2 linked regions of the Nothobranchius furzeri genome follow. The main gene of each other region encodes a partner of the protein of the gene in region 2 in a complex. Links are inferred from orthologs where the notes say so. Each region holds a gene or a part of one and is shown on either strand. Other genes may lie near its edges.

Region 1 (5,450 bases), on a different chromosome or scaffold from region 2:
CATTATGATGTCACAATGTCGTGAGCCTGTGTGTGTTAGCAGCTCTGCCCTCTTGGTGTGCCAGGCAACAGCATTTGTTGCATTTTTCAGAAAGGAAGTGGGAGGTGGAGTAAGACTCTGAAAGGAGGTGACTTGCCCTTTAATTTGTAAGTTTTACTTTACAGTAAAAACAACCAGTGAATAACCAACAAAAAGGAGAATACAGTTTGGATTTCACATCAATTCTGTGATTCAAAACTTGTAGTGAAAAAGTGGGAGGCAATGTCTTGTTCACTTACTGTAATGCAATAAAAAACAAAACACAAAAACAGTTTGGAGTCTGGTACAGAACTAATTCGGTCGTTCCAGTGTGAAAACTACGACTAAACCGTAGCGGTTATCACCCAACAGTCCAACGATTCATGAAGAAATCACACGTTTAGTTAGAGAAGTAAAAAGCAGAACTAGTCTGAGGTGATATCAGAATGTCCAAACTTACAACACGCCGTTAAATGAAACTAAAAATGATCATACTGATACTCTTCATGACATAATGTCTATAAAATATTCTTTTTACATAGTTACTTTATTCAGGCCCAGTTTCTGCACATCTGCTTACACTGAAAGGTAAAAAAATACATATTTATGGTTTTTAAAGACCAAAGTATTATTTTTGCTCTAAATAAAAACAACGTAACAAGTTGGCACCAATTTCAAAAGACATCAAATGGGGATAATTTGGCCCTTTTTAATTGTGTTTTTGCATAAATAATTACCATCTCACTTCCGGTAGAAAGCTTCCTTAATGAGCTTTGTTTGAAGAAATAGATTCTGTTGGCTAGTTCTATCAATTTTGTGTTATGGTTATTTTTGAAAAAACTAAAATAAAATTAAAAAAAATTCCAGCCAAACTTCACCGACTGCCTCAGAAGTGCTACCTTTTGCTGGTGCTGGTACTATTCATGCTTGTAACAAACGGAGTATCTGAACTGGGGTATGTACTTGTATAGGCCTGAAGGTTCGCTGAACGGGGCTTGTGGTTATCTCAAGCTGATTGGAGTAGGAAATGACATCTGCACACGTCGCCAAAACAACCGGAATTTATAAAAGCAAGATTTGCTGGTGAAGCAGATGAAAAGGAAAATAGTAAACAACATTCACACCGCTTTATAAACGTTGTTTCTAAAGTCTTAACACTGAAAAAAGTGATGAAAATCCCCCGAACAACGTAATTCACGGCGCTTTGTGGTTTAACAGTGCAATGCAAAAAACTGTTTCTTCTGATAACTGAATGACACAATCTACAGGGTACTTTGGCACAATAAAATTCGTAATTTATTATTCTTATTGTCCGTGGACACCTTTTGGTGCTGATCAGTGACATCACCCACTGACGAAACGGTTGCGAAATCCTGAAAGGGCCAACAGCAGAGAGGACCGAGCCAGCCTATATCCCAGTCAAATTCCCCCTCCCAGAAAATTTGAAGGACTCTGATAGAGGGAACACGGCTATTGATCCAGAGATTTCTGTGTAGATACAAAAAGTAACACAGGCTTGTTGAAGATTATGAAAACGATAAAGTTTGGGAGCTGTTTTAAGAAGGCAGCCGTTCACTTTGATCTTGGTTGTTGTCCAACAAGCCGTTAACTCGAGTAAACAATTAAAAGCTATTTCTCCAAACAGAGGCTGATCGGGACACTTTCTAAGATCTATGATGATAATTATTAAAACATTTCACACAAACACTTGAAAATAACCAAAATACCCGTTAAAATGGAAAATTATGCCCTTTTTGTCCTAAGAACGTTGGCTAGTATAGTGGTTTGTACTATGTTAGAGCTACATGAGGCCAGTGTTTAAGAAGCGCTCCGTTAGTGGAATCCATCAAAAGTTTCAAAGCATGGCTCAAAAGACGCTTCTGTGTGATGTTGGGGTGAGCGAGCGTGATCGCAACGGTTGGAAATTCGGATCTCCGCCGCTGCTCGTGCACCCCGGCGTTGCTGCGTCTATGTTGGAAGGAGATTCCAGCACAACCTCGTCCGGCAGAGGAGGAGCTCCGGGGTCTCCCGGCTTCGGGAGGCTGGAGGAGGTTGTGGAGGAAGCGATTCCGATGCTGGCCCCGGACACAGAGGGCAGGTTTCCACATTTCCGTATCGATGGCATATTGAGTGACTCTGCCACGTCAGAGGTGGAGGAGCTTTGCTCTCCATCTGGGTGGAAGAGGATGGTGGAGTTGTTGGAAAATGTGTTGGGGAGATCGCTGCTGGAGCTCGGGGAGTTGAAGGCGCTGCCGCACGATGAGCTGGATTTTCCTGCAGCTGAGAGGCAGAAGGACATGAGACATTACTACCAGAGGCGCTAGATGCCAACAGGCAGGGCAGGCAATTGCTTGGGGCCCCAAGGCCTCAATGGGGTCCCAGAGGGCCAACAAACTATGAACCAAGTCAGAACTGCAACAGTAGTGAAACAATAAAAAGCATCTCACAATCCCTGATGGGGACCTCCCCCTTCCTTGTCTGACACCCCGCAGTTTAGTCAGAAAGCAGATATTTTTGGTTTGGGCACCATAAAAACTTTGAAACAATGATTTTTACAAGATGTTGCAGGTTTGATCTTCACTTAGCAAGGCTTACTAACCTCTGAGTGACTCTATCTTCTCATTTTTGGCCTTTTGCACTTCATCCGTGATCTTGGCAATGATAAAGTTTTGTGCTCGCATCTCTCGGATGGAGTCGATCAGGGCGTCCAGACCTCGTGGGTTCTCAGCCAGGATGTCCAGCAGCGTTGCAGTCCTCTTGGTCTGTGTGGTCCTACAGCTGATTTCCTCTGCGTCGTCTCGCGTAAGGATCCTTCGAGAACGCAGGTAGTCCAGGTGGCGGTCAGCTCGGATCTTATCGCAGAGGTAGTGCCGCAGTCTGGTCAGCACCTGCAGATGAAAGGGACGAAAAGCGAATATTTGAAGCCAAAAAGCAGGTGGACAACACTCCATGTTTTATTTTTTTTACTTCAGAACAATAGATATCGAGCATACATTCAATTTTAACAAAACAGCCTATTTAATTTAACTTACAACGTGGCTAAAGCCGCATTTCTGCTGTTATTGGTAGGATTTATTGTTTTTGTGGGTTCAGAGGGTGCGGTGAGATATTTCCCCCTTTAACAGGCCTCTGACTCGGATCATGGCGCACAGAATCACGTTCTTATCGAAACCGTCCCCACCTCTTTATCAAACTCATCCAGACTCAGAGCCAGCTGCTGTCTGAATGATCATACTCACGTCTTTTTTAATCTCTGCCATTTCATCTTCAGTAAGCTGAGCAGCATCCATCTCTCAAATCCAGGTGTTCCGGGTGAATTATGACGGTTTTAATCCGTTTTAAACGAAAAACAGTTCAACAAACGTCATAAAAAGTCTCCCGTAAGCGTTAAAGATAGGGATGTTTCATAATTCGTTGTTAAAAGTTGACACATCTATTGTCTCCTTCTCTTAATCACGGAAAATGCATTTTTAAAAAAGCCCCGGACTTCCTGATTGTGTCGATGTTTAACTACGTCAACGACAGAAGAGAGGAGTGCTCACACAACAAAGCCGCTCTCACTAAAATCTGACTTTTTCTCGGTAAATTCTAACAAAGCATATTAAGTGTAATATAAATGACGTATAATTGGCCTATTTTAATTGAAAGGGTAGCACCTTTCTTTGCTTTCTGCTGCTGACAGAGAAGTTTCGCTTTAGAAAGTTTCAAAGGTGACGCGTAGTTCTAACCAGCTCCACGAGGGGGTGCTGTTGGACCGCAGACAGGTAAAATCCCAGAAAAACTATCATAACAGAAAGGTACTTTTACCACAACCCATTCCCCTTACAGTTAGTTTATCTGGAATAATAGGGATAGTATATTACGCCAGAGAATATTATTTCTTTAGGTTTGGATATGACACAGTGAAAGGTTAACACTCCTGTTCCTACTGGAAATGATGAGTGTTTGTAGTAGACGTGATTTGGTAGCCTTGCAAGCCATCCTGCATGGGTAAATATATACGCAAAGGGCAAAATATTTTTGCTACTGCTATAGGCTTGTGATTTTAGATAAAAGCAGCCTAATCCTTTTTCTAGGAATTTCAAACCAGAAATTGTTACTGGTCTGTCCCCAGCATCTTCAGTTCACCTCCTTTGGACAGTATATATTCAGAATATACCACAACTTTCTACATTTTTGTCCATTTGCTCTTCAGTGTGATGAATCAATCACTTGAAAAACAGAAATCAATCTGCTGTCAGTTTTTCTTCATCAGCATCAATGATTGCAGTTTATTTTCTTTTTCCACATGTTTAATTAACAGAAGACAACATCTTAAACAAAACTAGACAGAAATGACACTTTAGTTTTCCAAGGAGAGGTTTTTCATCCAAATGAAAAGCAGACGGATGGCCGTCTGTCTCCCTTTTGATAGTTTTATACAACAATGCGAAAATTGAAGGGATGACCAATAACTGCTCTCATACTCCTGATTTCAGGAGGAAAGATGTTGCTGGAAGATGCTCTTTAGATGTCAGGAGTTTCAAAGGTCAGACTGGACGTGAATTGTTTTCTTAATAAAAGAACTTTTATATAAAAAACAGCACATGGTCTGTTCTTTACTACAACGTTCATGACATTTTAAAATATTTGTGCAAAATGTAAGAGAACAGGAGGGTAGAAAAGATGCACAAAGAGCCATGAGATAATTTTGTTTTACACCTGTGGCACAATGCATCCTATACCAGCAACAAAAAGCTTGCTACTACTGAGAATCACGTCTTCTAACTTTCTGAAACCACAATTTTGCATAATCTTGCCATTTTTACCCTCCTGTCCACCCACCTTACAGCTTTTGGCTGTTTTTAACACCCCCGTGTGTGTCACGGAGTTCACATGCACTTTATGCAAAACAGCAAAAATGTGGTTTAAACTTCCTCTTTTGCCTTTCCCCTCCATGATTTTCATGTAAATGGCTCCTCAGCACATCTCAGGTGAGACATTTTAATTATTCCAGGAAGGCTCATATAATCCAGGTGTCTTTGTGGCCCTGCAGCAAACCTTCACATTGAATTGAAATGTTTCATCTGCCTGTCTCATGTCCAACATTCCACTCAATTTACGTGCTTCTGAAATTTTCTAACATAACATCTTTTGGTGGGAAACGTTTCCCTTCCAAACCACTACAGTCAGCGATTTGCAGACATAATTGGTTCACCGAGTTCACGCTTGTTCGCCCTTTATGTGTTTGGGCTGGCACAGACTCTGAAGGACTTTTGTAACCGACGTTTGAGACAAAAATTCCTGCTTTAGTTGATCATTTTCTTTGATGCTGATCCTTTAATTGAATTGAAACCTGTGAAGTTCACTACGGAGAGGGTGTGGCTCCAGGCAACATTTTACTGGATTGAATGTCCTCCTTTAATCTGGATTTCTCAGGTTCAAACATTCCC
Region 2 (4,514 bases):
GTGTGTGTCCTGACTTTAGGGATGACCAGGAGACGCCTGCCAGAGGAGCGCAGAGGCCGCGAGGGTTCATATTGTAAAAACAGTTCTGATAGATAAGAAGGCCCAAAACCATTAAGACACTTAAAACCATTAGAAGAACCTTAAAATGGATCCTGAAACATACGGGGAGCCAATGCAATAATTCTAAAACCGGAGTGATGTGCTCCCGCCTCCTGGTCTTCATCAGGACACGTGCTGCCGGATGTTGTAGAATTTGTAAGCCTGAGATGCTCTTTTTGGGAAGACCAGAAAGCAGGGCGTTGCAGTGATCTATCCTACTGGTGATAAAAGCATCAGCGTCTCCGTATTGGCCCGAGAGAGAATGGGGCGGACTCTGGCGATGTTCTTTAGATGATAAAAACCTATTTTGGTGAAACTTTAAATGTGTGGGATAAAAGTCAGCTCAGAGTCAAAAATCACACCCAGGTTCTTCACTTGTTCAGAAGGATTAAAAGACCGAGATTCATGTTCAGCTTTGAAATGAAGAACTTTGCAGAACAATACAGTTAAAATACACATAAACCTCTAACTCATCTGTGTGCTTTTTTCTTTAGCAAAGACCAGCTGGTCTTCTAGTTTTGTTCACCTAACCCTAACCCATCTGAAAACAACCCTTGAAGTACAGATTGGTGAGTTTGAATGAATGGTGCCAACTGGAATCTTTGAAATTAGACCAACTATTTTCCACATGAGCTGTAATTTAAACCCCAGAAAGTCTGAGTCTGGGTGAAAACGGTTATCTTTGTAGCATAAATGACAAAAGAATTAATTTTGCTTTCTCATAAATTGTGATATTTCATATCGTGTAGCTTTTGTTCAGTGAAGCATTTTGTGTGTTTTCTCCGTGAAAGGTGCAATAAAAATAATTTACTTATTTGATTACAAATGGAATTTTCAGATTTGTACATCAGAGTAATTCATATAAAACAGATTTATGCTTTGTCCCATCCTGCACTTCCTGAGATACAAAGTTGGATGTAATCTGTTAAATGGCCACTAGATGTCGCCAAACTCTTTATACATAATTTCGTGGCATTTTTTTGCAATAAATCTACATTTTTTAAAAATCCATGTCCAGCAGTTTTAAACTTAATGTACCATACTTTATCCCAAGTAAAATGGAAGCTGAGAAAAAATTACAACAGCAGTTTTATTTTACTAAAATTAATCTCTCCAAAAATATATTGATAAAAAAACCTTCAACAAACAGCTTAAGACAAATAATGCTTAATAAATCGAGAGTACAACATGTTTTTCCATCCTGTGACGTGAAGAGCAGCAGCATTTTTACAAATATTTAAGAGGTTTAAAGCTCATGTTTCACTGGGGCTGAAGCTGCAGGCTTTTGATGAACACAGTCTGCAGCTCAGTGATGTCCTCAGTCGCTTCTATTGGGATGCTGAGTTTCAGTTCGGGCTCACACGCTCCATCGTAGCCATATTGGCTAAAGTGGTCATAGCGGGAAAACGCACAGCCCCCCACAGCACCCTGAGGATGCTCATAGATGTCCAAGTGGTGCTGTGGGGAGAGGCGGTTCAAGGCCTGGCCCTGGTGTGACCCGTGGTAAAGGAGATGCTGGTGGTGTTCAGGCCCCGGGCTGTGACATGGGCTTTGGGAAGGGCTGTGGGGCATCGGGCAGGTCTGCAGGCAGCTGTTCCGACGCATGGCCCGGTGGAGGTCCAGTCTAGCGATCAGTGGCTTTCCTATGTTGACACTTCTGGACCAGTATACGGGATGATCGTCATCCATGGCTGCAAAAGTGCCCTGAAGGCACACGGTGAAAACCAGCTCCTCCTGTTACATTATATTAGGAGAGAAAATAGTTTTCAGTAAGAGAAACAACCCAGATGCTTCCAGAGCTAAAAGAGAACCTTGGAGCAAAGGAGGATTGTAACAAACGATTAAAAAATGGGTTTCTGGTGTTGTTGTTGTGGAAAAAAGAACTGTTATGAACTATAAGCATCTTTATCAGACTGCAGAATATCAAACCCTAATGCATACTGTTGTAGTTTTTAATAAGTAAGCCTTAGTGTCACAATTGATCAGTCTATGTTCTTTGTACCCGGAGCTTCTGCAGCGAGCTGAGTCTGGTGTACAGACAGTGCTGTGGCAGACTGCTGGACAGCAGGTAGATCCCCGTCTCCTCTGGAGTCTCTCTGTTCATCTCTTTAGGATCCACATCTAGATCCTGAAAACAAGCAGGGACACTTTTCAACCTCAAAACCTAATCGATCTTTAACGTTTACAAAAACCAAGAAATCACAACTGTCAGATGAAAATGTGCGACATCACCAGTGAGAAGTCCGTGACATGAGCCTGGCAGAAAGACATGTCCTCTGGCTTCTTAATGATGTGAGTGTAAATGACGAGAACGTTGGAGAACTCCGCAGCGAAGCCCAGCTTGATCTGAGCCCCGCAGTCAAAATGAAGACTCATCGTCTCAGGAAGTTCTGGAACAACAAGCAAACACTTTGGGAACCAGGTTTTAGTTGCTAAAAACAAATCATGTTTAAAGAAAATATTTTATTTATTTGTAATGAAAATTATCCATAATTAATACTAAAAACCAAAACCACGTAAAATATCAAATCTGAGAATCTACCAAGAAGCCACGCAAATAAATCGATTTTTAAACTCGTTTCCCCCAAAAAATTAACAAGAAAACTTCAAGTTTTCATTTTCCGGGATTCCAAAGGCTACTTTTTATTGGGAAATAAAAACGCATAAACATCATTATAGTTCAAGTCAAACTGTATTCTTTTAGTGGAGCTAATACAGCCACATATCAAGCCGAGTTTCAATAAAGGAGACGAGTTTTTCCTTCAGAAAAATGACTTTACTGCAAAAAAGCAACATTTAAAGTTTTAAATGTCAACATTTAATTTTAAAGTTACTTTGAAATGGAATTAATACATTTTTAAATCTTCAACTTAATACATGATATAAACCGAATAAAGATGTTTAAAAATAAATAAAATACCTAACACAGGAAGGAGAAAATCTCAATAGTTTTGAGAAAAATTGCTTTCACAAAAATAAAAAAATACGCTTTTGAAGGAATAATTTAGATTTAGGCTGTTGAGTGAATTCAACACTAAAAACTTAGATTTAGTTTTTAATATGAATCACTGACACGTTTATCTCCTCAGACTCCTGAAAAGCTGCAAATACGGTATCTTTAGTTTTGTGCGACTGGTTGGCTGAAACCCAAGAGTAGCTGAGTCATGGTTTACAGATTTGTTTAGGCAACTATTTCTAAGAATATGATGTTAATCTAACAAGCTTCATGCAACAGTTGAGCTGTTGAAGGAAACTCCCATGGCCGTGTGTCTTTCCTGTAAAGATCGATAACTGCCAACATCTGGCTGAGCGAGACGTGTTCAACCTCCGGACGCTGAGAACTGAAGATTAGCATGTTTTATGTCATGCTGTGTGTTTGCTAGTGGGCGTACCGTGAGCTTTGGCCCACAGCCGGCTGTGAGCGAGATCGGCGCTGTCGCCGGGCAGAATAGGATCGGTCAGCGCTCTCCGCTCTGCCAGACTGCTGCGGATCTCCAGAGCCTGTTTACCCTTGGTGGCATCAAACTGGCCCATATCTGGAGACGAGAAAACCGTGAATTGATATTATTAATAAGCACCTGAATAAAAGCCGCAACCTGCTTACTTTTCAAATGGATAAAAAGTTGTAAATAATCTGGGCCACACTCGTCTACAAGCCACAGGTGTCCACTTTTATATGTCCAGGTAACGTGCACAAATACGTAGAGTAAATGGGTTTTTCCAACATGTGCCTGTGACATGGCTGGTTAAAAATAAATAAATAAATAAATAAATACATACAGGTACAATAGCCTGCCACCTCCATCTTCCCACTCAGAAACAAACCATCCTCAGTCTCCCTTTTGCTGTCGCTGTCAGTATCCTTTTATAAGGAGGAATGGGACTGTTGCAGTACAGTAAAGTACTAATAATACTTCACCTTCAGCAACTCTGTCCAGCAGCACAGTGATCTTCTCATCCTCCATCAGCCGCTTCTTTAAAAACTTGACAAACACACCGTTGGTGAAACCCGTGGAGCTCAGCTCAAAGGCCTCAGCATCTTGGCACCTAAACAAAACAGACAAATGCGTCACGTTACGATTCTGAAATCTAAAATCGCAGAAGGAACTGGATTGTCTCAGACTCACGTTGCATATCCAAAGACGATGTTGGCTGTGACTCTCAGGACATTGTTTGGAGCGCTGTCGTCGTGAAAGTTCCTGGACAATAAATCGGTGAATAAAAATGATTAAAATGACGAGTGATCAGTTCAAAGTGCTGAAATACACGTGGAATTACTGACCTCTTTCTGCACATATCTAGCAGAAAAACATTGAGGCCCGTTTCTTTCTCCTGCATCAGTTTGAGGATGCTCTGCACACACAGACAGTTGGCTGAGCGGTACGGGTTCGGCGCATCAACCGGTACCATGAAGC

The links. Proteins that work in one complex are often made in the same cells at the same time.
Region 1: the proteins of malt1 (region 2) and bcl10 are in contact, whole or in part, in a cryo-EM structure (PDB 6GK2), measured with the Homo sapiens proteins. The link is inferred for Nothobranchius furzeri from reciprocal best matches to the Homo sapiens genes MALT1 and BCL10. Residues at the interface, in NP_006776.1 of Homo sapiens: Asp46, Gln47, Ala48, Pro49, Trp54, Arg55, Leu74, Glu75, Ser78, Leu79, Val81, Leu82, Glu83, Pro84, Glu85, Gly86, Pro88; in NP_003912.1 of Homo sapiens: Leu13, Lys17, Val83, Arg87, Asn93, Gln97, Thr100, Leu104, Arg107, Asn108, Leu111.

What each region holds. Positions count from the first base shown.
Region 1 is NC_091751.1:48,596,209-48,601,658, reverse strand, and holds bcl10 (B-cell lymphoma/leukemia 10), read right to left. Parts: upstream 3,733-5,450; 5' UTR 3,309-3,732; coding exon 3,258-3,308; intron 2,907-3,257; coding exon 2,618-2,906; intron 2,299-2,617; coding exon 1,886-2,298; 3' UTR 117-1,885; downstream 1-116. UniProt on the Homo sapiens protein: Plays a key role in both adaptive and innate immune signaling by bridging CARD domain-containing proteins to immune activation.
Region 2 is NC_091757.1:57,789,335-57,793,848, forward strand, and holds the end of malt1 (mucosa-associated lymphoid tissue lymphoma translocation protein 1), read right to left. Parts: coding exon 4,382-4,514; intron 4,299-4,381; coding exon 4,227-4,298; intron 4,147-4,226; coding exon 4,019-4,146; intron 3,636-4,018; coding exon 3,492-3,635; intron 2,490-3,491; coding exon 2,332-2,489; intron 2,228-2,331; coding exon 2,102-2,227; intron 1,834-2,101; coding exon 1,360-1,833; 3' UTR 1,171-1,359; downstream 1-1,170. UniProt on the Homo sapiens protein: Protease that enhances BCL10-induced activation: acts via formation of CBM complexes that channel adaptive and innate immune signaling downstream of CARD domain-containing proteins (CARD9, CARD11 and CARD14) to activate NF-kappa-B and MAP kinase p38 pathways which stimulate expression of genes encoding pro-inflammatory cytokines and chemokines.